Linked DNA regions of Lonchura striata. The protein of the gene in region 3 binds, or shares a complex with, the protein of the main gene of each other region. Links are inferred from orthologs where the notes say so. Each region holds a gene or a part of one and is shown on either strand. Other genes may lie near its edges. The genes, in order: IER5, ARPP19 and PPP2R2A.

Evidence for each region.
Region 1: the proteins of PPP2R2A (region 3) and IER5 are in contact, whole or in part, in a cryo-EM structure (PDB 8UO5), measured with the Homo sapiens proteins. The link is inferred for Lonchura striata from reciprocal best matches to the Homo sapiens genes PPP2R2A and IER5. Residues at the interface, in NP_002708.1 of Homo sapiens: Glu91, Ile92, Glu93, Glu94, Asp116, Tyr178, His179, Asp197, Leu198, Met222, Leu225, Thr226, Glu227, Val228, Thr230, Ser247, Phe280, Phe281, Glu283, Ile284, Ser287, Cys334, Tyr337, Glu338, Asn339, Asp340, Phe343, Lys345; in NP_057629.2 of Homo sapiens: Ala7, Arg9, Ile10, Ile13, Ser14, Lys17, Arg25, Gly26, Lys29, Leu30, His31, Lys32, Leu34, Leu35, Val36, Leu38, Val39, Leu40, Arg41.
Region 2: the proteins of PPP2R2A (region 3) and ARPP19 are in contact, whole or in part, in a cryo-EM structure (PDB 8TTB), measured with the Homo sapiens proteins. The link is inferred for Lonchura striata from reciprocal best matches to the Homo sapiens genes PPP2R2A and ARPP19. Residues at the interface, in NP_002708.1 of Homo sapiens: Lys18, Gly19, Ala20, Asp23, Asp24, Asp29, Ile31, Thr45, Asp47, Gly49, Arg51, Val53, Phe55, Val73, Thr76, Gln78, Glu81, Pro82, Glu83, Phe84, Leu87, Lys88, Ser89, Glu91, Glu93, Tyr178, His179, Asp197, Leu198, Asn221; in NP_001293124.1 of Homo sapiens: Lys42, Pro43, Gly44, Ser46, Phe48, Leu49, Arg50, Arg52, Leu53, Lys55, Lys58, Tyr59, Phe60, Asp61, Lys75, Pro93, Asp97, Leu98, Pro99, Pro103, Leu105, Val106, Ala107, Ser108, Lys109, Leu110, Ala111.

What each region holds. Positions count from the first base shown.
Region 1 is NC_134611.1:2,038,619-2,044,918, reverse strand, and holds IER5 (immediate early response gene 5 protein), read left to right. Parts: upstream 1-4,867; 5' UTR 4,868-4,971; coding exon 4,972-5,676; 3' UTR 5,677-5,765; downstream 5,766-6,300. UniProt on the Homo sapiens protein: Plays a role as a transcription factor. Mediates positive transcriptional regulation of several chaperone genes during the heat shock response in a HSF1-dependent manner. Mediates negative transcriptional regulation of CDC25B expression.
Region 2 is NC_134613.1:12,459,215-12,466,710, reverse strand, and holds the start of ARPP19 (cAMP-regulated phosphoprotein 19), read right to left. Parts: upstream 3,077-7,496; 5' UTR 2,945-3,076; coding exon 2,900-2,944; intron 792-2,899; exon of another isoform or gene 435-791; intron 421-434; exon of another isoform or gene 275-420; intron 1-274. UniProt on the Homo sapiens protein: Protein phosphatase inhibitor that specifically inhibits protein phosphatase 2A (PP2A) during mitosis. Inhibition of PP2A is enhanced when ARPP19 is phosphorylated.
Region 3 is NC_134634.1:2,457,935-2,465,803, reverse strand, and holds the start of PPP2R2A (serine/threonine-protein phosphatase 2A 55 kDa regulatory subunit B alpha isoform), read left to right. Parts: upstream 1-4,867; coding exon 4,868-4,976; intron 4,977-5,604; coding exon 5,605-5,679; intron 5,680-7,869. UniProt on the Homo sapiens protein: Substrate-recognition subunit of protein phosphatase 2A (PP2A) that plays a key role in cell cycle by controlling mitosis entry and exit. Involved in chromosome clustering during late mitosis by mediating dephosphorylation of MKI67.

The DNA.
Region 1 (6,300 bases), on a different chromosome or scaffold from region 3:
AACATACAGGAAGGTGGACTACAATAGGAGGGTTGTCTGATAGGAAACCCCAGACAAATAAATGCATTTTTTCCCCAGGAAACCCAAACCAGTACCATAACCCACTGAAAGATGAGGGGGTCACATTTTTTCCAAGGGAAACAGATGCCTAAAGAAGCTGATAGCTGGGAGTGGGATTTTTTTTCCCCCTCATTGTGTTTGGAGAGGTTGTTGGAGGAGCAGCAGGATATCTGATGGGCAGAGGGACAGGTCACTGTTCTCCAGGGGAGCAGAGGGAAATCCCAGGCCAGTGGCTCAGAAGGAGAGAAGGGAAATTTTAAATCATTTGTGCAGGAGGAATCCCAGATCACTGGTGAAAATTAAAAAAAAAAAAAAAGTGTAGGAAAGAGTCTTGCCTGCCTGGGATAGTAGCACTATGATCTCTGCCATGGGAAGGGGGTTTTAACCCTGGAAAACCCCTTTGCTTTCTAGTACACGGCTGTGCTGCAGGCTCACACCTCACTGTGGTTTTGGGGCGGGTGTCTCAGCGCTCTCAGAAGCCAGGGGAGCTGCTTCCTCTCCTCTGGGTTTAGGTTTGTATTGATTTGTTTGTATTTGTTTCACTTGTGTTTGTTTTTCATTCATCAGCGATTAGTGTTTGGCTCTCTGGGCTGTGTTTTGGGATGTTTCCCAGCTTTTCTGACCTTATCTCCAAGCAAGGATAAAGCAGAGCAGTTGGGAACCCTGGGGGATTAGTTACCAATATCCGATTGTGGCACGTCCAGACTGCATCCACGTGAATCATTGATTTTTCTGGGGAAAAAACCCAACCCAAGACAACCTTCCTCTCTTACTCCTGAGCCCCACATGGGTGCCTTGCAATTAGATGTTTATTCCCATCCAGAAATGAACTCAAGCTGCGGATAGATTCCCATTTGGAAACGTTCTTCCCGGTCCTGTTTTGTTTACGTCAGCAATCACTGGGGGACGTGCCTGGATCTCCCTGGGGTTTTGGCTGTCCTGAAGTTCTGTTTTTGCTCCAGGCAGCTGTTGGTGCCAAGGCTTTTGCCTCAGCACCGCTGGTGGTGAGGGGCTTTTGATGGATTTGTTCACATCCTCCTCTCAGGATGGGTCTAATTCATGAATCCTGGTGCGAATAGAAGAGAGAGGCATCGATGCACGGCAGCAGCACTGGGACAGCCGCTGGTGGATGACTTCAGCGTGTGCTTCGAGGACACCCTAATTTCACTGTCCATCCCAGCTGGAGGGTTTTCCACCTCTTTCCTGCATCCGGCTTCCCCCTGGGGCCTGGGCCGCACATTTGGTGACAGCGAGGAGCTGGCGGGGGGCTGAGGAAGGGGTCAGGCGCCGCTGTCGGAACAGGATCTCGCTAACCACATCCTCATTCCGCGGGGGGCCGTGCTGGGAGCCAGATGGCCGGGCCGGGCCGGGATGGGAAGGGCCGGGACGGAGCTCAGCCAGGCTCGGGGACCGGCAGAGCCGCGATGCTGCCGGAGCTGGGGCTCCCCCAGCATCCCCCGCCGCTCCCGGCCAAGATGCGACCGCACGAATCCCCAGCGAGCATCCCGGCGCCGACCTCCTCTGCTCGGAATTGAAACGCTTCCAAAAAAGCCGGGGGCGTGCGCGCAGCCCTCTGCAATTATTAGTCGTACCACAAGCTGCTTCCTCCCTCCCTCGAGCCGCTTTTATGTCGCATTGTTTTCCTTTCCAGGTGGCCCACCGGGGCTGCCTCCTCGCCACCGCGCCGGCCGCAGCTCTGCTGGCGGAGAGGCCACCTTTGTCTGCCAGCCAGCCCGGCCCTTCCTCCCCCTTCCTCCTCCTCCTCCTGCTCCCGTGCCAGAGCTATTTCGGGAAACAGCAGCTGAGCCGGAGGATTGTTAATTGTTCGTCAAACCCCTTCCAACCCCGCCGGATCACATGCGGAGATTAGAGCGGCCGGTCACACCCTTTCCCTCCGCCTCCTTCTCCTGGATCCCCCCCTGACCCGCAGGGCTGGGGGCGATGTCCCTTCCGCGGGGCGGGCGGAGGGATGGACCGGGGGGTGCATCCAGCTGTGCCCAGCTGTGGGAAGCGCGGCGATGCCGAGCCGCGGCTAGCAGCGGATCGCCGTGCTCGGAGGGCAGCCCCGGGCGCGGGCAGGAGCCTCGGGGCAGCCACAAGGAAGGCAGACAAAGCCACCCCAGGCGCTGACCTCAGAAGCCGCCATGTGACTCGGCCTCAAAGTTACTAAAGCATGACATCAGCCGGGGAGGGAGCGGCAGAGCTGCCACCAAAATATGCCTGCCTTCAACCGGCTGCTCGTCCTCGCCCGTGGATCCCCCCCACTCCCGAGGATAATTGCCATTCATGGTAGTTCCTGCTGGAAAACAAATGGAAAAGATCGCTTTGACACGCAAAAAGCCAGCCTAGTCTTTGGGTCGTTCCCAGGGATAAGAATGTGTCTGTGAAGCAACCCACTTTAGATAATGATATACGTATTGATATAGTGTGTGTGTGCACCTTTGCTTTGGCAAATGTCCTGGACCGTGATTCTGAGATGAGATGTTGTTGTGGAAAAGGAAAAACCATCATCCCACCTCTGCAAAGGGCACGGAGAGCAGGCAGATGTCGAGGCAGAGCTTTGGTGCCCTAGGAATACCGTGCTGATGGTTGTGCCTGACACCAGACGTGGTGTTGGTGGGTGAAACTCGTGGTGCTGGGTGCCAGCTCTCCTGCACCTCTGCCCCTCCCTGCTGGTGCTCTGTCTGAGCACTGAGAGGGACGAGGGATCACTCAGTCCCCATCCCCATCCTGCTAATCCCTGGCCAGAGCCGGGAGGGGCTGCTGGCCCGCCTGCTCCCAGGCAGGGTAGCGGCCAAAAGGCAGTGCCTGCAGAGAAGTGGTGCCTCATGCCATGGGGGTGAGGTGGTGAGCAGCAGAACAGGTCAGTCTGCTCCGATCCAGGCATCTTCACCCCGCAGAGCTCCCACGCTCTGCCTCCTCCACCCGCCTTGGGCTTTTCCCAGCTGGTGTGATGACTTTGCACTGCTGCTTTTAGTCCCCGAGTTGGGATATGCCTAGCTGAGAGATGCATCAAATCTGACTTTCTGACCCTTTGCTGAAGATGCAAGTGCCCAGATCTGGCAAACAGTAGTCCCAGAGCTGGCCTTGCATCTCCCAGGCACACAGCCAGCCCTGTGCCACCAAGGGGACACTGGTGGCGGGTGAAGAGCCGTGACTGCACTCGCAGGCATGCAAGCCCAGAGCTGCCCTGGCTGGTTAGGCTGACCCGAGGGCTCAGGACAGGGTGTTGCTGGCCCTGCGAGGGGCGGGGAGCAGGTTTGGCAGGTCGGGAAAGCCTCGGTTCCCACCGCTGGAGCTCGCGTCCCTCCGGCCTCCCACGCCGGGTGTGGAGGGGACAGCCCCGCTCCCTGCGGCCAGGACAGGCTCTCCCTGCTGTGGGCTAAGCTGGGACCTTGTGTCTGTGGGACTTTTTGTCTGTGGGGGAAGCCAGGCTTGGCTGTTTTGGCCGTGTGGCTGAGAGTGCCCCGCTCGGGTCACTTCAGATGGAGCACGGCAGGTTTGGTGGAGAAGGGCTGGGCATTTTGAGATGTCAACATCCAGGCTGAGATGCTATTGTGTCTGACACCCAGAGAGTGACATTTTGAGGTTTACCATCTGTGTTTGACCAGGAGGAAAACATACATTTGTCCTGAGCACGGTTTTTTTTTTTTGAAGAAGGCTCTTGCTATGTCAACTATGCATTGGTGTGGCCTCATCTTCACTTTTTTTTTTTTTTGTTACCTCTGTGACCCGCCACCCTTTTTTCCTTCTAGAAGGCCAGGACATGGCGACAGGTTGTGCCAACAAAACATCATGATAGCCTGTGGCTTTCCCTTGGGGGAGTTTGTGGATTCATCCCCTGGGGAAAAAAGGGATGGAAGCAAGTTGTTATATGTCATCTGGGAATGGAAACTGATACTCTGGGGCAGCATGTTGAACTTCCTTAATTTTAGGCCCTTTCACTTCTTTTCTGTTTGCAAGTGGTGGTTAGTCCTTGGTGGAAGGAGGAAGGTCTGCACACCAAGCTCTGAAACACCCTCCAAGCTTTCTTGGATGCCTCCCTGGTGCCTGCAGCTGTGTCTGGGGGCTGCATGTGTTGTCTCCTCTGTCCCTCAGCCACCTGGATGATCCTGCCACCAGCTTTCACAGTAAGATTCCAGCTCCCAAACAAGATGCTCCAGTTTGCCGTGGTCCCCATCACACTTGGAGATGCTCTATTTGCCCTCCCCTACAGCCTTTCCCAGCCCTGTTGTGGATCTTCTCTCTGCCCTGGGCTTTCTGGGAGCTTCACTGCCAGGCCCCTGGAGCAGAATTCTGCCTGGCAGCTGGGCAAGCACGGCTTTGTTCCACATCAGGGCAGATTTTCCCTGAAATCCTCACAGACACATTTCACCCTCCAGCCATCACCACCACCAGCTCCTTCTCTAGCGCAGTAAGATCCCAGACAAGGGGCTGAAATTGCGGGAAACGTCCCCAACCTGACAAAACGGAGGCTGCGCTGGGTTGGATTTGTTTTGTTCGGTTTGTTGTCTGTTGTTTTTCCCTCCCCAGGGAAACGTTTCCATCGCTTTGGCCGAAATTCCCCGCGCCGCCCGCGTGGGGTTCCGCGGTGGGCCCCACCCGCGCGGCGCGCTGGCGTTGCCGCTTTAAGAGCCCTCTCCGCGGGGCGAGCTTTCGAACGCGCTGCCCTGCGCCGCCATTGGCCGGAGCGCGCGCGCGGGGGCCAGCCGGCGGTTGGAGCGGCCGGCGGCGCTCCCTGATTGGCCGAGGCGGGGGCGGTATAAAAGGCGGGCGGGCGCGTGGGCTCGCTCAGTCTGCGGCGCGAAGGGGCGGCGTGCGGAGCTGGGGTGAGGCACGGGTCGCCGCTCGGCTCGGGGTTTTAACTGTTTTTTTTTAAATCACCCCCCCCTTCGCCCACCTGCTTTCCCCATGGAGTTCAAGCTGGAGGCGCATCGCATCGTCAGCATCTCTCTAGGCAAGATCTACAGCGCGCGGGGCCAGCGCGGCGGCCTGAAGCTGCACAAGAACCTCCTGGTGTCGCTGGTGCTGCGCAGCGCCCGACAGGTCTACCTGAGCGAGCCGGGCTGCCCGCCCGAGCCGCCCCCCGCGCCCGCCGGCCACCCCGAGGAGGAGCCGCCGCCCCGCACCGCCGCCTGGGCGGCCGAGGAGCCGCCGCCGCCCCCGCAGGACGAGGCGGGCAGGGACTGCCAGGGCCCCCGGCCGCGGCGCTGTTGCTGCGGCGAGAACCGCGGGGGCTGCGCCGGGGCCCCCCCGCCGCCGCACTGCCCCCGCAAGCGGAGCGCCGGCGAGCGCGGCCAGGCGGGCTCCCCGGTGAAGAAGCCCCGCCGCGAGGAGGAGGAGCCGCCGCCGCTGCCACCGCCGCCCTCGCCGCCGTGCGAGCAGGAGGACATGGAGACGGGCAACGTGGCCAGCCTCATCAGCATCTTCGGCTCCAGCTTCTCGGGACTGCTCAGCAAGGAGCCCAAGGGCCGGCGGCGACCGCCTCTGGACGGCGGCGAAGCGGCGGCGGGCACGGCGCCCGCCGAGGCGGCGGCCGAGCCGGGACAGATCTGCTGCGACGAGCCGGTGCTGCGGACCCTCAACCCCTGGAGCACGGCCATCGTGGCCTTCTGATGGCCCGGCCGCAGAGACTGGCTCCCCGCCGCGGGCCGCGGGGCCCGGAGGTGACACCCACCGAGCGCCGCGGGGCTCCGGCGCCGGCCAGACCCGGCGCCCTGCGCCGCCGCACGGGAGGGACCGCGGGGCAGCGGCGGCAGCGCTTCCCCGTTCCCCGCCGGGTCCCGGCTGCCGGCACCCGCCCTGGGAGCGCCCCCGGCCCTGCCCTCCCGGAATTCCCCTTCCCGGCAGAGCCGCCGCCGCCCTCCCCGGCGCCCGGGGGAGGCTCCTCGGCTGCCGCCGACCCCGGGGGCGCCCCCGGCGGGTGATATTTTAAGCTTGGAAAGTATTAAGTTTATTAAATAAAGTCTCTATTTTGGAAAGGTTTAGGTCAGAACTATTACATGGTGCTTTTTAAAAGTGTTTATTGAGAGGAACGAAGTTTACAGACGCTCTGACGGAAAGTCCTTGAGCCTGTTTGTTAGGCTTGGTAACTCCCGGTCTTTGTTGTATAAAGGCTTGGGGCTCCCGTAGGGAATTTTGTACAGTGTTCTCCTTCAGTGATGTATCATGTTTTGTATAAAATGTAATTTCTACGTGTACAACACGTATTAAATATTTTCAAGTGTATGAGCCTAGTTC
Region 2 (7,496 bases), on a different chromosome or scaffold from region 3:
TCCCTATTGTGGTTCATCAGAATGCCACCACAGACTGGATTTGCTCAAAAGTAATCCTTTCAGCTCAACACTTGGAACACCTAATGCTGAATCACTGGGTACTCACTGCTAAGCCAACAGACAAAATATTTGAGGAGGTACATTTTGCCACTAAAAGCCAAAAGACGTATTTTTGCCAAAAGGAAGTATTTTTTAAGATAAAAGGACCAACAATAAATAGCTTATATAAATATGCATTCACGGTGCATCAAAGGAGACATTTATGCAAACTCACAGGGCTGACAAATTATGGCACAGCAGGCAATCCAAACAAACACATCGTGTTATGCATCAATGCAACTCAGAAGGATACAGAGCACGGCCGCTTCTTCTTGATGACCGACAACAACAAAGACTCAAAAACCCACAGAACACAAACTAAAGAATTTCAGTACCACGACTCGGGGTGCCAAACAAAACTAGCTGACGGCAGGTTCAAAATATACTTAAGACAACAGTTCTTCACGTCAAACACAGTTAAGCTGCAGAACTCCTTGCTGAAGGATACAGGGAGTGCCAAGAATTTGGATTCAGAGAGCAATTCGATGTGTTCATTTGCAGCTCAGAAGCCTTTCAAACCAGATTGCTGAGATCTCGGAGAGTTTTCTTGAGCTGATCACCGGCTGCACGTCCTGATCTTATATTCTTCTGAGGACTAAATGGTATTGAGCATTCTCAGAGATGGGCTGCTGAGCCCGAAGACTTTAGTCCAAGCCACTCCCACATTCAGAACATTCTCCCTTGAATTACAGAAGCAACAACCAAGTGACTAACAAATGACTGGGGAGTGGGCAGAAATCAAGATACACCACGCTCTTCTTCCAAGTGACAACCACACAAAAGTTATAATTTTAGTTCTCTACAGGAATATGACACAGCTCATGAAGTCATTAAAATTATCTACCAGGAAGGCAGTAGTTACCTAACTCACCTAAAGACAGCTTTTGATTTTAATCTTTGCAGAGGTTCCAGCAGCATTAAGTTCTGTATCTGCTGGACAAGTGACCTGCATGACTTAAAAAAAAAGCCATCAGCCTTTTAAAACTCTGGTGTGAATGGCTCATCTTTAGTAGAAGACTTCAAAGTGCAAAGCAGAAAATGGGAAAAAACACGGCAACAGCACAACCCCACAGCAAACTAATGTGGCAAAGACCAATTCAGCAACAAAATGCACCACCTCCAAGGTCTTCCTGAAAAATACAGGCTCAACCAGACATACGTTCTCCTATGTCCAAAGTTTCTTTGTTTCTGAACTTTCCCCCACCACTGTCCTGAGTTTTCACACCAAGAACAGGAAACGCTGGTCTTTGGCAGATTTTCAGTTTATACCACTGTAGTTAAAAACCTTTCTTGCTCGGCACAAGCTTCTTACAGCATGTCAGAAAGTTTAGAAAAAAGCTCTGATCATGAAAACACTGTCTCAAAGTTCATTTAGGGGCGGCATCTTTCTGAAGCATACATGAATAAGTACTGCAAAATGGGTTGTTTATGTAAGTGTTTCAGAGCCAAGCATTAACCGAGTGAATGCTCAGTTCTGCCTACCCAGACAAATAGCTTTAGTGGAGGTTAATATTGCAATGTCATAACAGCACTGATATCACAGTATCAGACCAGGACATAATCCAAGTTTTATTTTATTGACGTTATATAATTTTTCTTGAACACTTTACCAGAATAAAACTAAATTAGGATAGCAGCAAGGACCTCCCATCTCTCAAGTGAAAGGTAATTTCTCCCAGCAGACATTTCAAGACTTCAGTCTGGAAGTTCGTTAGGAAAATCAGCCTGTCACCTGACTTCATCAGAACACCCTAGAAGGCATTACAATAAACTTGCTGCCACATGTTTAACTATGCTCTTATTACAGAGCTATTCTAGGAGCGCTGCATAGGCCAGGGACTTATTTTTATAGGCTTTGAACAGGAACAGTATCCCTTCAGCAGCCTACCTAGCATGAACGTTCAGTCACGCTGCAGAACACACCTATTTAAGAGCAGATTACAGAGCTGACAAGAAGCTGGTTCTGATTACTGCACCTACTGAAAAGGTATCATTCCATATTAATCCCCAAAGCTCTACCTGTGCGACTAACTCATATTACAAATTGTAAATTATTAAACAAAAACTTAATAGCTGATGTAGATTAAGCTTTTTCTTTTAGCGTCCTTCAAAGCAGTACTTGTGTTTCATAACTTCTCCGGATCATAGCCGCGGGGATTGCAACCGGGCTCCCACAGCAATGACAAGACTAAAAAACAAACGGCTTCTTAAAGTCACAGCACAGCCGTGAAACCAAACCCCACTTGAGCAATGGCACAATTATTAGTTACAGAGATGGCATAAGAGGGACGCCACAAGATAACCCAGCCAGTTATTCTTTCTAAAAGCCTTAACTAGCACAGGTCACGGTCGCTGTGATTTGGGGATTTCTTCTCCTGCATTGCTTACACTAAAAACTGAACATTTTTTAGAAGTGGATCAGGGCTGGTGTCCATCCCGCCGTGAGCCGAAGCCATCACGCAGGCCGGCCCGCGGAGGGCCGGAGGGAGCGGGGCCGGGGCCGAGGAACGAGCGAGGCAGCGCCTCCGGCCCGGCACGTCGGGCCGCAGGGCCAGCGCACAGCGCCCGCAGCGGGAACGGCCCTCCCGAGCCATCCTGGCGCTGCGGCCCCTCCGCCGCAGCCCACACGGCCCGGCCGCGCTCCGCAGCCCGGGGCGGGCGCTGCTCTGAGCGCGGCCGGGCCCGGAGCCGCTGCGGCCCGCGGGGCTCCCCGCGCTGAGGGACGGACAGGCCCGGCCGCGCCGATGGAGGCGGGAGAGGCCCCGCGGGGCTCCCTGCGCTCCTCGGCCCGGCCACCCACCTTCTGCTCCTCGGCCGAGGCGGGCTCGGGGCTCTCGGCAGACATGGCGGCGCGGCAGCGGGGCCGGGAAGGAGGGAAGCAGGGAGCGAGGGAAGGAGGCGGGCGGGAGGCGCGGCCGCGGCTCCTCCGCGCTGCTGCTGCTGCCGCCTCCTCTCGCACAAGATGGCGGCGGCGGGCGCGACGGAGCGGCGGCGGGGCCAGACTTCCTCCGCCTCGGCCCCCGCGCGCGGGCTGGGGAGCGGGGGCGGGATCCGCCTGCGCCCCGCGCGTCACGTCCGGGGTCGCGGGTTCGAGGCCCGGGTCCGGTGCCCCTCCCGTTAGAATCAGAATTACAGAAACGTCAGGGTTGGAAGGACGTTCAGTGTGGTCCAGTCCACCCTCACGGGCGTCACTGTAACCACTAAACCACGTCACCCGGCGCCAGAGCCATCCGTCTTTTAAACACCTCCAGGGATGGTGACTCCAGCGCCTGCCTGGGCAGCCTGACCAGCCGAACAGTGAAATAAATTCCTCTAATACCTAATGTGACTCGCCCCAGACTCCGCTTAAGGCCATTCCCCTGGTCCCCGCACTGGCCCCAGCTCACCTCACCTCCCCACAGCCCCCTGACCCCAGCCTGCGTGGCCGCCCCTTCTCAGATCGGGGCAAAGGGAAAAACCTCCACTGCCGAGCTAAACTCGGCTCTTTTGGCCACTTCTAGTGATCAAAATACAGGGAGCCGAGTCCTCAGCAGCATTACTCGAGGATCTCACGAATCCCAGACAGCAGCTGACAGGACATGAACGCTCAGTCCATTGGAACTTCTTAACAGCACAGTATCAACTTATACAGAGTATTTTATTCCCTCCCCATCACTGTGTGGTTCTTGGCTGAAATGGAACCTTCTGTGGTAAAGGAGCAGTTTAAATAGCCCACCATTAATAATCCTTTAGGGGTCCCTAAATAAATGGATTATGTGAACAGCAAGGTATGGATTAGCACAGCTCAGGAGGGACTGGCCAGGACAGGCTTTGTGCGATTATGGTCGGGAAGAACACAGGAGCCAGGTCAGAAAAGTCTGTGAAAGATGAAGCTGTCAACGATTTTGTCAAAGCTGAATTGTACTGAATGCCCCACAAGCCAGTAGGTGGAAGAGGTTTTTTGTGCACCTGGGAGATTCATCCAGAGACCAGCATCACATAGCTGTGGGGAACCCAAGGAATGGGCATATCCCTCATTCAGAAAGGGATACAGCCAGGCAGATTGCACAGAAAAATTATCATAGAACGCACCAGTGGGTTTTTTCCTAATGATGAAAAAAGCCATGATAGTGGTGGGTGTGCCACATTTGCTTCTAGCAAAATCAGGGAGAAATGGTCTGAAAGTGTGAAAAACATAGCAACATAGAAAAATGATCATAAAAAGGATGAAGTTCATAAATTTTAAAAAGAAGAACAAAGCAGTGACAGCAGACAAGAATGCAAACTCCAGGAATTTCTTTCAAATCTCTTAGGAAATTAATGTGAGGGAAAACAGTTTTAAGGATCCAGCAGCTCCTTAATGCAGTTATTTCTTTAAGGGAACATAATGCAGAGCAAAGATGGGAGATAAATTCAGAACCTCAGGAAAAGCCCAGGTTCTTCAGCGGTCTCAAATACAGGAAAGCAGGCTACAGAAACTAGGTCAGTTTTTAAGGAAGCAGATCATGAAGACAAGGGGGTACCAAAATATTACTGAACAAAACTTTTAAAGACTAAAGTGTTTAATGTTTCTTTTTGTTCAATCTGGCATGATCAAGGTAAATAGTGTAACAAACTAAGCATGGCCTCTAGCTGGAATAAGGAATGACTGGTTTGCAGGTTACTTTAATTAGTTTTGGTAAATATTTTCAACTTGGACGAAAGAATTTCCTTAAGAGATTACAGGATGACAGAAGCAATCTCCAGTTAATTACTGGTGATTCATATAGGAACCTGTAAAAAATGAATGGGTTTCCAGGAGTCACTTTTCCTGAATTTGGATTAGAGTATGGGGAGGACAGAATACAAGCTATATAATTATGCTGTCAATAACGACTTGAAAAATCATCTAAAATAAGCACTCAAAAGAAACTGAGTAGCTAGGCAGGAATTCACAGTTAAGAACAAGGGTTTCACACAATCATCTTTCCTTTAAGAAAAAGGAAATAGACCATGTGGAGAAGTGGGTGAAGGTGGATGAAGTTCCAGATGCCTTCTGGCATTAATAACGCTTCTGACACTTTCCCATGCAAATTAGGGAAACTTAATTAGATTAAACTTTAATGTGGTGGATGCAAGTTTGTTGGACACAGCTATCAATACTTCAAACAGCAGTGCTGTGTTCAGCACATAAAATCTTGGGTAGTGAGAGAATAAAGTTCAATAAGGAGAGCTACTATTTTGGGAAAAAGCAGGTAGGATGTCTCTTATACTGGGTAACCATATGAATGCAAGCTGACATCTCCTGATACTGAAAATCAGTGTATTCCAACAGGATGCATGAAGAGGACTTTAATTCATGTTTTATCAACCAATTATTTCAGTCTGACTGGCACAGAGAGGCCCTGACTGGGGTGCTGTGTCCAGTCTCACACACTTCAAGACTGATTCAGTCCAAAAGAAAGCAAAGACCAGAATGACAAGAGGTGCACAAAATAAAGGCTAACCGAAGAGTCTGAGGTTGTGCTAGTTAAAAAAAAAAAAAAAAAGACTGAGAAGGGAGATACAAGAACTAAATTGCTTGCTTGTAAGTGAAAAGACTAAGTATTACTTAACTTCAGCAACATTTAGTTGGAAGTTATAAATCCTTATATAACTTTAACTAAATGTATATACTCAGTATAACTGAATGTTATACTTTGTCACGATAAGTATAATTTATCACTGGAAGAGGTTAGTTGTAGCAGCCATCACTGGAGGCCCTTATAAACCACTCAAACATTTTAAAAAAATAGTTGTATATGGTTGAGCCTGTTGAGGAATAAAGAGGAGAAACCAACGGTCTCTCAAAAATTAGTCTAGTCTTAAGCTTAGAAGGTCATGCAGAATTTAGTTCATGGTTTATGAGCATCCAGCATTTTTCCAGGTGTGTCCTTAATGGAAAGTGTTTACTCAGATCAAGCTGTAAATGGAGAATGACTTAATAAATTCAAAGTTGTGCAAAGATAATCCAAGGTCACTTTCATTCCAAATCCATATAGGGACTAAGTGTAGTTGGACTATTAAAGTGAATACAAATTTATTTCCTAGACATGACTTGTAGTAACCACATATTTAAAATCCACATTTCTTTGCTATTCAAAGCAAATAAATGAAAGGATATTACTTGAAGAAGTCTATTTAAATAAAGTTATCAAGATACAAACATTGCATAATAGTGCAAAATAAAAGGTTAATCTACTACTAATGGTGACTTTTCATTAAAAATGTGTCCTTTCCTCATGTTGTTTTTTCATTGAGCATGCAAGCAAGCTGTGCACCATGACACAAATAAGTAGTTTGAGGATACATGCTGTTTGCTTATGACTCAATAGCAGCTACACAAAAACTAGGACGTCCTCTTGATACCCTAGTCCAGACCTTAGTTCTGTACACAGTACAGCTGCAGCTGTGTTTGACTCTTCTGCTACCAAAAGAAATTGTTTCTCAGTTTTAAAGGGCAAATTACTAGAAACTGCAAACAATCTCTTCCTGTACACTTTTCCCCAATTCTCTCTAAAATGAATGCTAGGTAAACCTTTGAAAGCCTGGTGTAGCAGAGTGGAAAACACTGCTACAAGGGGAAAGGACTCAGTAATATCTGAGCTTTGCCCTTCTGGAGAAGCAGTCATTTGCATGTACAAGATAGCTGATGAGTATCATCTGGAAAGTCCAGTCTCCCTTACGCTCCCTGGCAGACTTCCTGGAGATTTCATGATACACTGACTTCTCTCATCTAAGGGCAGTGCTGAATATACAGGACGCACATTCATCCTTTCTCCAGTCTTCATCAGATAAACATGGTAAAGGGCACCTTGCATATTACTGACACTCTAAAAACCTACAGCAAAGTAAAGAAAAACACAAATCAAGGTAAGACAGTTGAGAAACTCAGATCATCAAATGTCATAAAGCTTCATTTCCATTATTAAATATATAGCTCAAATATAATCAAATGCTTCTAACTTTATTTCTCTCAGTTACACAGTTTAACACGTAGCATAAACTGTTCATCTGACTGTTTTGTTTTAGGAATACACACACATATTGGAAAATAGTGATATGCCCAGTGTAGCATTTCTAGTAAAACTTCCTATGGCCACCTAGTGGCCTACATGGAATTGACCTATGAAAAATATTTAGGATTACATGAAGATCCTCTCATCTAAAAATAAAACAAAAAGTACAAGTTTCATAGCTTTTGCATATATTTGAGATATAAATACTAATTTGTTTGCACAGTACATCCTTTAACACAATTTGAGAAATAAAATGGGGGAGGGTGCAAATTTTATGTGAGAGAAACTAATAACAGAAAGCAAAATTAAAATGGCCCTTAAGGAAAGAAAATAAATTGAGGGAGTAAAATGTGAATTGAATTAACGATCTGAATGCATGAG
Region 3 (7,869 bases):
AACCGACTGCTCTTTATGTACTTTTCTGACAAATATCACAGCAAATAGATGCAGAAATGCTGTTTTTTGAGTCCTTGTTCCTGTAAGTTCCTCCCACTTCCCAGAGGTCATCTTCAGTCTCAGCTGAAGGAGTTTTTGTATAGAGTAAGAATTAGTCATTAAAGCATGATGGGAGTAGATAAATGCCCATTAAAGCTTTGTGCTGTTGGAGGCTGTGTATAAATTTAACACCATACAGTTACAATCTCCCCAGAGCACCTCAACAAATGCTCAAGCTCCAGAAAAATCCAGGTGTGTGCTCACAAGCTTTGAATCAGGGCTATGGAACACACACTGCCTAATTTGAACCAATCATTCATAGCGTGAACCTCTGAACTACCAAGCAAGTGAACACCCAGGCAAAGGTTGTGGTTCCCAAGATGTCTCACTAATTGCTATGGCTGTAATTTAATGTTATTTATTTATTACGCTCCACTATTTTCTGTAGCTGTTGGTTCACAACAAAAAACTGAAGTGTTTGAGTTACAATCCATCCTCCTAGCACCATGATATTCAATATTTTCTAAGAGAAATTTTATTGTAATTATAAGCTTTCTACTAAGGCTTCATTAATTTCTCTTACAGAGCTAATTGCAGGTCTCTTTGCCATATTTAATTTTTTTTAACAACAAAAGTTCTTGAACCAAGGCTTATTCTGCTATGAGTACAAATTCTGCAGTAATTATACAAAAGACAATGGATGGATTGGACTAGATCTGCAAATTTTCCTGCTAAACAGTTGCAGGACAATTCTGCTTACGTTGAAAAGAGTATGTTTAAAGAATTAATTTAATTTATTAATTAAATTCAGAATTTAAAGAATTCTGAAAAGAGAGGAATGCCAGCTTTCTTGCTGAATTTGGTATAAAGTAAACATGGCCACAAATTTGTAGAATTGAGTGAATTTGCTCTTGAGCTATGGGAAATGTGGACTGGGATGCTTGGGACCAGGGAGTTTGTTTTCGTTGTGATTGTTTCCAAACTTGCAGTGTTTTTGGGTTGCTCTCAAAACAACCCAAGCAAAACACTTGGTTACAGAGATTTCCAAACCTGGGTAAGTTGCAATTCTTTAGAACATCCCATATATGCTGAATGTTCTTTCAAATGTTATTGTTATTTCCAAGATTGATTTATTTGCCTGTGCAATTTTTTTTCTATCATGGATGCAGAGACAAATCAGAATTCCAAAATAACTTGTAATTTGGGCCAGCTGTGGGTTTCTGGTGGCAGCCTGTCTTTTTGTATTCATTTGTGGTATTTAGTTCCTACAGCTCTGTTTCATGGTGGACTTGACAAGCAATTCAATGGTCTTTTCATTTATAAAAGCATCCTCTTAGGTGTTCAGAGATGGAAATGTAGAAATCAGTGTATGGGAGGGTTTTGGAGGCTTGTTCCAAGTCACATTTCAAGTTTGTGGTAGCGCTGGGTTTGCAGGATGAGCTTATGAATCTCCAAGTGAAATCTGGATTAGCAAGATCTACCCAGCCCAAGAAGAATATGTTTGCACAAACATCTTTTAAGGGAAACTGATGACTTTCACAAGATCTTAAATAGATTGTACTGAATTAATTATCCCAGTCCTGTAGTTAACTACAGATGAGACAGTAACTGGGACCCAGCAAGCTAAAAAGGAGCCTCCATCCCTCCCAAGCCAGCAGGAGCTGAGCCAAGCTGGGCTCGGCTGAAAGCCTTTCTTTGTGGATCTTGCTGGCTGTCAGTGTGAAAGGTGGATGGAGGCTAAAAATGGCTCAGGAGCATGGCCGGTGTATGCAGGGAATAGCAATGAGAACAGAGTGAAATCAGAGACCGAGCCCTGGACGTTGTGGAAAGCATCCAAGGGGGTGGAAAATGTGCAAGCAAACAGGTTCTGTGTGCCTGCTGCACGGGCAAATGGCAGGAGGGAGCAAAGGGAAGAGAGGGGGGAAAACACCAAAACCAAAGCACAAGCGAAAGGGAGATGATCTCAGAAATTCAAAGAGAAGGAAATCAGAAGCCTGAAAATAATCTTTCCAGAAAAGATGAAATATCTCAGAATGAGAAGTCCTGGAATAAAGTACAGTTTGCATTTTTTGCTTGCTTTAAATTCTTCCCTGAAGGATTACAGACATGCAAGATGCACAACCTGAGGGATTATCAGGGAAATGTTCTTCACCCTGTAGGGAATGGGCACGGCCCAAGGCCGCCAGAGCTCCAGGAGCGTTTGAACAGCACTCCCAGGGATGCAGAGTGGGATTTTGTGGTATCTCTGCCGGGCCAGCAGCTGGATCGATGATCCTGGTGGATGCTTCCCAACCAGCTCAGGATATTCGGCTTCATGAAGGGCGAGCCTGCGGGAGAGGGGTCAAGGAAGGAAGCTGTTCCTGCAGGGGAGTCCGGGCGGCGGTGGTGGCGGACACCGCAGCACGGAGGGGCTGGGAGCGGGCGATGGCGGCGGCCCCTCCATGAGGGCGGGCAGGGGCCGCGCTGAGGGGCGGCAGTCCCCCCGTGGAGGCGGCCGATCGCTCCAGCCTGAGGGGCGGTAACACCTCCATGAGAGCGGGCAGGGGCCGCGCTGAGGGGCGGCAGTCCCCCCGTGGAGGCGGCCGATCGCTCCAGCCTGAGGGGCGGTAACACCTCCATGAGGGCGGGCGGGGGCTGAGCCGAGCGAGGGTCGTTAGCCCCGCCATGAGGGACACAGCCTCACCATGGGGGTGACTGACGCCGCGCTGAAGGGCGAGTGGAACCGGGCTGAGGGCGGCCGATCGCTGCCGAGCTGAAGCAGCGGCACCCCCGCCATGAGGGCTAACAGGAGCCAGGCACGGACATGGCGGCACCGCCCGCCCTCCTGAGGGCGGCTCGCTCCCGCCCCGCGCTGACGTCACCCCCAGCTCTGCCGGCGCCATCTTGGACGCTCATCGCCGGGGGGGCCGGAGCGGGGCCGCCCCAGCCCCGCCGCGGCCGCCGCCGCCTCCTCCTCCTCCTCCTCCTCCTCCTCCTCCATCCGCCGCCATCGCCGCCCGCCGCCGCCGCCCGCCCCGCGCCGCCCGCCCCGCCCGCGCCGCCCGCTCCGCCCGACCCGCCGCGGCCGCTATCGCCAGCACAACATGGCAGGTAAGGGCAGCCTGCCCCCCTGCCCCGGCGTGGCTCGGGGGACTCTCCCCGCTGCCTCCCGGGCCGCCTCTCCTATTCCGACTCGCTTGCGCCTTGCTGGTTGTGGGGTGGCTTTTTTTTTTTTTTTTTTTTTTTTTTTTTTTAGCCTCTCGTGTGGGAATTCGTGCTTTGCTCCCACCCACCCCTCCTTCCCTCCGTTCCCCGGGAAAAGAAAAAAAAAAAAAAAAACATGGAAGAAGCAAGGTGGAGCGGGAAGTGGTGTGTTTTGGAGTTGAGCTTGCAGGCAGGGTGGGTCTGCTGCCTTTTCGTAGAATCATGGAGTGATTTGGGTGGGAAGGGACCTTAAAACCGGTCCAGTTCCACACCCTGGCATGGGCAGGGGCACCTTCTGCTATCCCAGGTTGCTCTGAGCCTCATCCAGCCTGGCCTTAGACAATTCCAGGGATCCAGGGACAGCCACAGCTGCTCTGGGTAACCTGTGCCAGGGCCTCCCCACCCTCAGAGGGAAGAATTACTTCGCAATATCCCAGCTCAACCTACTCTTTCAGTTTGAACCCATTCCCCCTTGTCCTGTCACCACATGCTCTGGTAAAGAGTTTCCCCCTTGAGGCTTTAGGGTCGGTGCTTGTAGTTATTTCTCTGCCGTGTACAGAGAGGTTCCAGGTGCAGGCGGTGTCCAGATTGCAGTCGCACCCTTCTGTAGGGAGCAGCCTCTGAGCATCTGTAAATGCCACTGAAATTTGGCACAGGGTGTGATTAAACAGCACAGGTCTCGCCGTGTTTTCTTTCCCATTCCTTCCTCTGCTTACTCCCCATTTCACATCCCCAAGTGCTGTTGGTAGGCTTGGGAATGTGTGTGCAGAAAGGATCTCTTCCCTCTTACTTTTCCTTGCATTTTCTTCATTTGGAAATGTATTCATCCCCCTCCTCTGCACGTGAATTGTCTTTTCAGTGCTTTGCATGTGGAGGAGCAAAGCATGGGAGGCTTTGTGAGGCATGTGCTTTGCCTTTCCCCCCTACACCATATGCACATGCTCCACCCTCCTCTTGCCGTTTTAGTCGTGGGGGGGGGAAAGTGCCAACTTGGTTCAAGTAAATTTTATGGAAAAGAGCTCGAAGAAGCAGGAGCAGTGATTCTCTCCGAGCTGTTCCCTTTAAGTGCTGCTATGGTGCCAGCCGCTAAATGACAAACGAAGAAGTTGAAGAGAAGAAAATGGGTTGTAGGATTTTGGGGGAATGATGGGAGGAGGGAAAGCATTTTGCCATCTCCTGCATAGATGGGTTCTGTTGCTTGCTTTCACCTCCTCAGGTTGTGCATCTTGGATGTCTGTAATCCTTCAAGGAAGAATTTAAAGCAAGCAAAAAATGCAAACTGTACTTTATTCCAGGACTTCTCATTCTGAGATATTTCATCTTTTCTGGAAAGATTATTTTCAGGCCTCTGATTTCCTTCTCTCTGAGTTTTTTTGCTCCCCTTAACTTGGGAAGAGTCTCCTCCTGTATTCTTTGTTATCTCCAAAGCCCTACCAGAGCTCGGGATTAATGTGTAAATGCCATCTGTTGCTCAGCCGGTTTGAGTTGTGTGGAGGAAAAGTTCCATTTTGACAGTGGCTTTTGGGAAAAAAAAAAAAAAAAAAAAACCAACAAAAAAACCAACCAACCGAGGCAAGCCCATTTCTGGCTCTTCCTGTATGTCCTCAGCCCTGCAGTGATTTGCTCAGAATGAAATGCAAAAGAAATGGGTGGTGATTTTTGGTGTGTGTTTTTGTGGCACGGTTCAAATGAATCACTGCCTTCAGCCGAGGCAGTAATGTTCCTGAAGTTTTCTCTCCGATCCGTTTTCTATGGTAGTAGAATTTGTCCCCCTCCGATTGCTTGTTTGCTTTTCTGCTCGGATTTGCTGCTTTTTTTTTTAGGCTGATAATTGCTTTCATTACTTCTGCGAAGAGACTCTAAAATTGTGGTAAAATTCTTTTTCTTTAGCCTTGAGTGCTTAGGGTCGGTGCAGTAGGTTTGTGAAAGGAGGAAATGAATTGTGTGCTTGGTTTGTATTGGACAGGAGATTGAAATTTTTTAAAAAAGCACAGCTCTGATAGTTGATATTTAAGCTGTTTGTGTGTGTGTGTGTTTAGGGGGGTTCTGACTCCTCGAGTAGGAAAAAGTTTTGTGTGAAACACAGCAGTTCCTGCACTTGAATTTTAAATTCGTAGTTGATGGTGCTTAGTCCAGCAAGCTTTGAGTGAGTGAAGCTTTTACACTGGTTGTGCTTCCCTGTTTTTGACAAACAGTGCATTGAAGGCTGACAAAAACAATATCCAAAGGAAAAAGGTGGGGAGGGTGGTGTGTGATTGTGCCTCAGCACTGCTGAGGAAGTGGGCGTGCACAGGCTCTGAAATGTGCAATCTGGAGCCATTGTGTGCTTGTGCTGCTGCTCTTGGGGGGGCTCGTTTTTATTGAATTGTTTTCAATTTTCAGGAGCTGGAGGAGGAAATGACATTCAGTGGTGTTTTTCTCAGGTGAAAGGCGCTGTAGATGATGATGTAGCAGAAGGTAAGAGTAATACTTTTTACTGTTTTCTAACTTTTTAACCATTCCTTAGGTGGGGAGATGTGAATGCAGTCAGTAAAATATCCCAGTGCTGCTAAGTGCTCGTTGAGCAAAGCAAATGGACATTTCATATGTATTCCCATATCCAGATTCAGGTTTAAACTGTGATTTGAAAGTACCATTCAGCATTCTTGTAAAAAAGTTCAGGCTTCCTAAGTTATTTTTGCTGGAATTGTTTTCTAACATTGCTAAGATTTTTCTGATTTTTTGGCTTTTGACTTGTGTTTTTTCTTAATCTTCAAAATGGGGAATGTGTTACTTAAATTCCACAAGGAGGTGTTGTTAGAATTAATATTTGTACTCTTTGAAGATCTAAGTACTGCATGAAGGAATTGTCCCAACATTTCTAGCTCCTATTAACAAGAGGCAGAAGAAATCTGCGTATTTGTGCATGCCTACTTAGTATATAAGGAGCAGGTTTGGGTTTGAAATAATGCTGAAAATTGTCTGAAACTTTTCCAAGCTGCCAGTGACAAGTGTCATGTTACACTAAGATGGCTGCCTCTGAATTTCACTGCAAAAACTACTGTTTGGGCTTTTTTCCCTTGGATTTTGGATCATTGGAGGAATGATGCTTTTTTCTGTGCTGGAGAGCAGAATCTCTTCTGTGATCATTCCCGAGGAGAGGTCCCCTGACTTCTGAATTTCTTTGGCCATAAAGTCCTGTTTGCAACAAAGCAGCTTTTAAGATCATGAGTTAAAAGTTTTCTTTTGCAAGTAGTTGGCCTTGTCACTTATGTAATTCCTGTTTTTTTTTATTTTTCTTGCATATCTTGAATGCTCTGACATAGAAGTGAGATTAATGTTATATTTAGAAAAGCAGTAACTACAGTTTCCATTATTTCCCTGCTTGACATGTGGTTCAGATTAGCTTCCAAAGGCCAAAAGAAAAGATTGGTATAAACATAACTGAGTTGTTTTTATTTATTAGCTGCAGCATGTGGCAAACGATGCACTGAGGCTTCTGTTGTTTGCAAGTTGAAATATGTTTTTTGGAAATGAGAAAGCTGTACAGTTTCAAGTTTATTTTTAAATTCTTCAGGAAGTAGATTTTAAAGCTTGAACTCAAAGTGCTGTTAAATGTGGTATATTTTTTTTCCCTGACAGATTTAAAATTTTGTAACCTTTGTTTTATTTATGTATCATACTAAATCCTTAATAAATACAAGTATTGAAGAAGTTGTGGTTGTGGTGAAGTTGTGGTGCTTGCAAATAATTCTTCATTAAAATAGACGTTGGTATGCTTCTAGTAGTAATGAACTTATATATAGGTATAGAAAAGTAGTCTTTACAGGGATTTGGAAATGTAGAAGTGAGGAAATAGGAAGGAAGGACAGGCTGAGCTGTTTTAAGTGTTGCACTTGGTGTTATGAAAGGTGCCTTGCCAGCCTTGTGCCTCCTGCCAGGCTGGGAGCTGCGCTGAGCATTGCTGGAATCCCGGGGTGGACTTCTGGGAAGCCTTTGAGGGAATTAACTGGCTTCAGTTTCAGCAAGCCAGGCAGCTTGGTTCCTGCAGCATTGTAAGAATCTCCATTTTTTGGGTTATAGACAGTGTAGCCTTCTGATTCTGTGACCCAAAGAGTGAAAAGAAATTTTCTTTCATTGTCAGCTATACCTGACTTAGAATGAGTCTTGAGGTCCAAAGTGTATTATACTGTAAGATGGTGTGAAACTGAACTGCCTAGGGAGAGATCCCAAGTATTATTGATGGTGTGCTTGGCTGTAATTAGTGTGTTGAACTGAATTTCTCTCCTGTTCCCATGTATTTGGCTCCCACAGTCCATGCTGGAAGTTGGTGAAAGCAGTTGTTTATATTGATTTGTTGTACATCATAATGCCTCGCTGTAATTCTGTTGGAAGCGTTATGTATCAGGATGGTTGCATTTGTCCTTTTCCTAGTGATATTTCTGGCTTTAAGGTTCATATCAGTGACCTGGAGCCTTGTGTGGCTCTTGCACCAACTGGAGCAGCAGCCTCTGGTCTTTTGGAATACCCAGTGACAAACTGGCAGTGGGTGCAAGTGCAGTCTGAGAACCTTTTTAATTCCCTGCCTTTCCTTCTGCTTTCTTGGGCCAGGCCAACTGTGAAAGCTCAAGGAAATCTTACTGTCTCAAGCTTTAATGACTCTTTAAC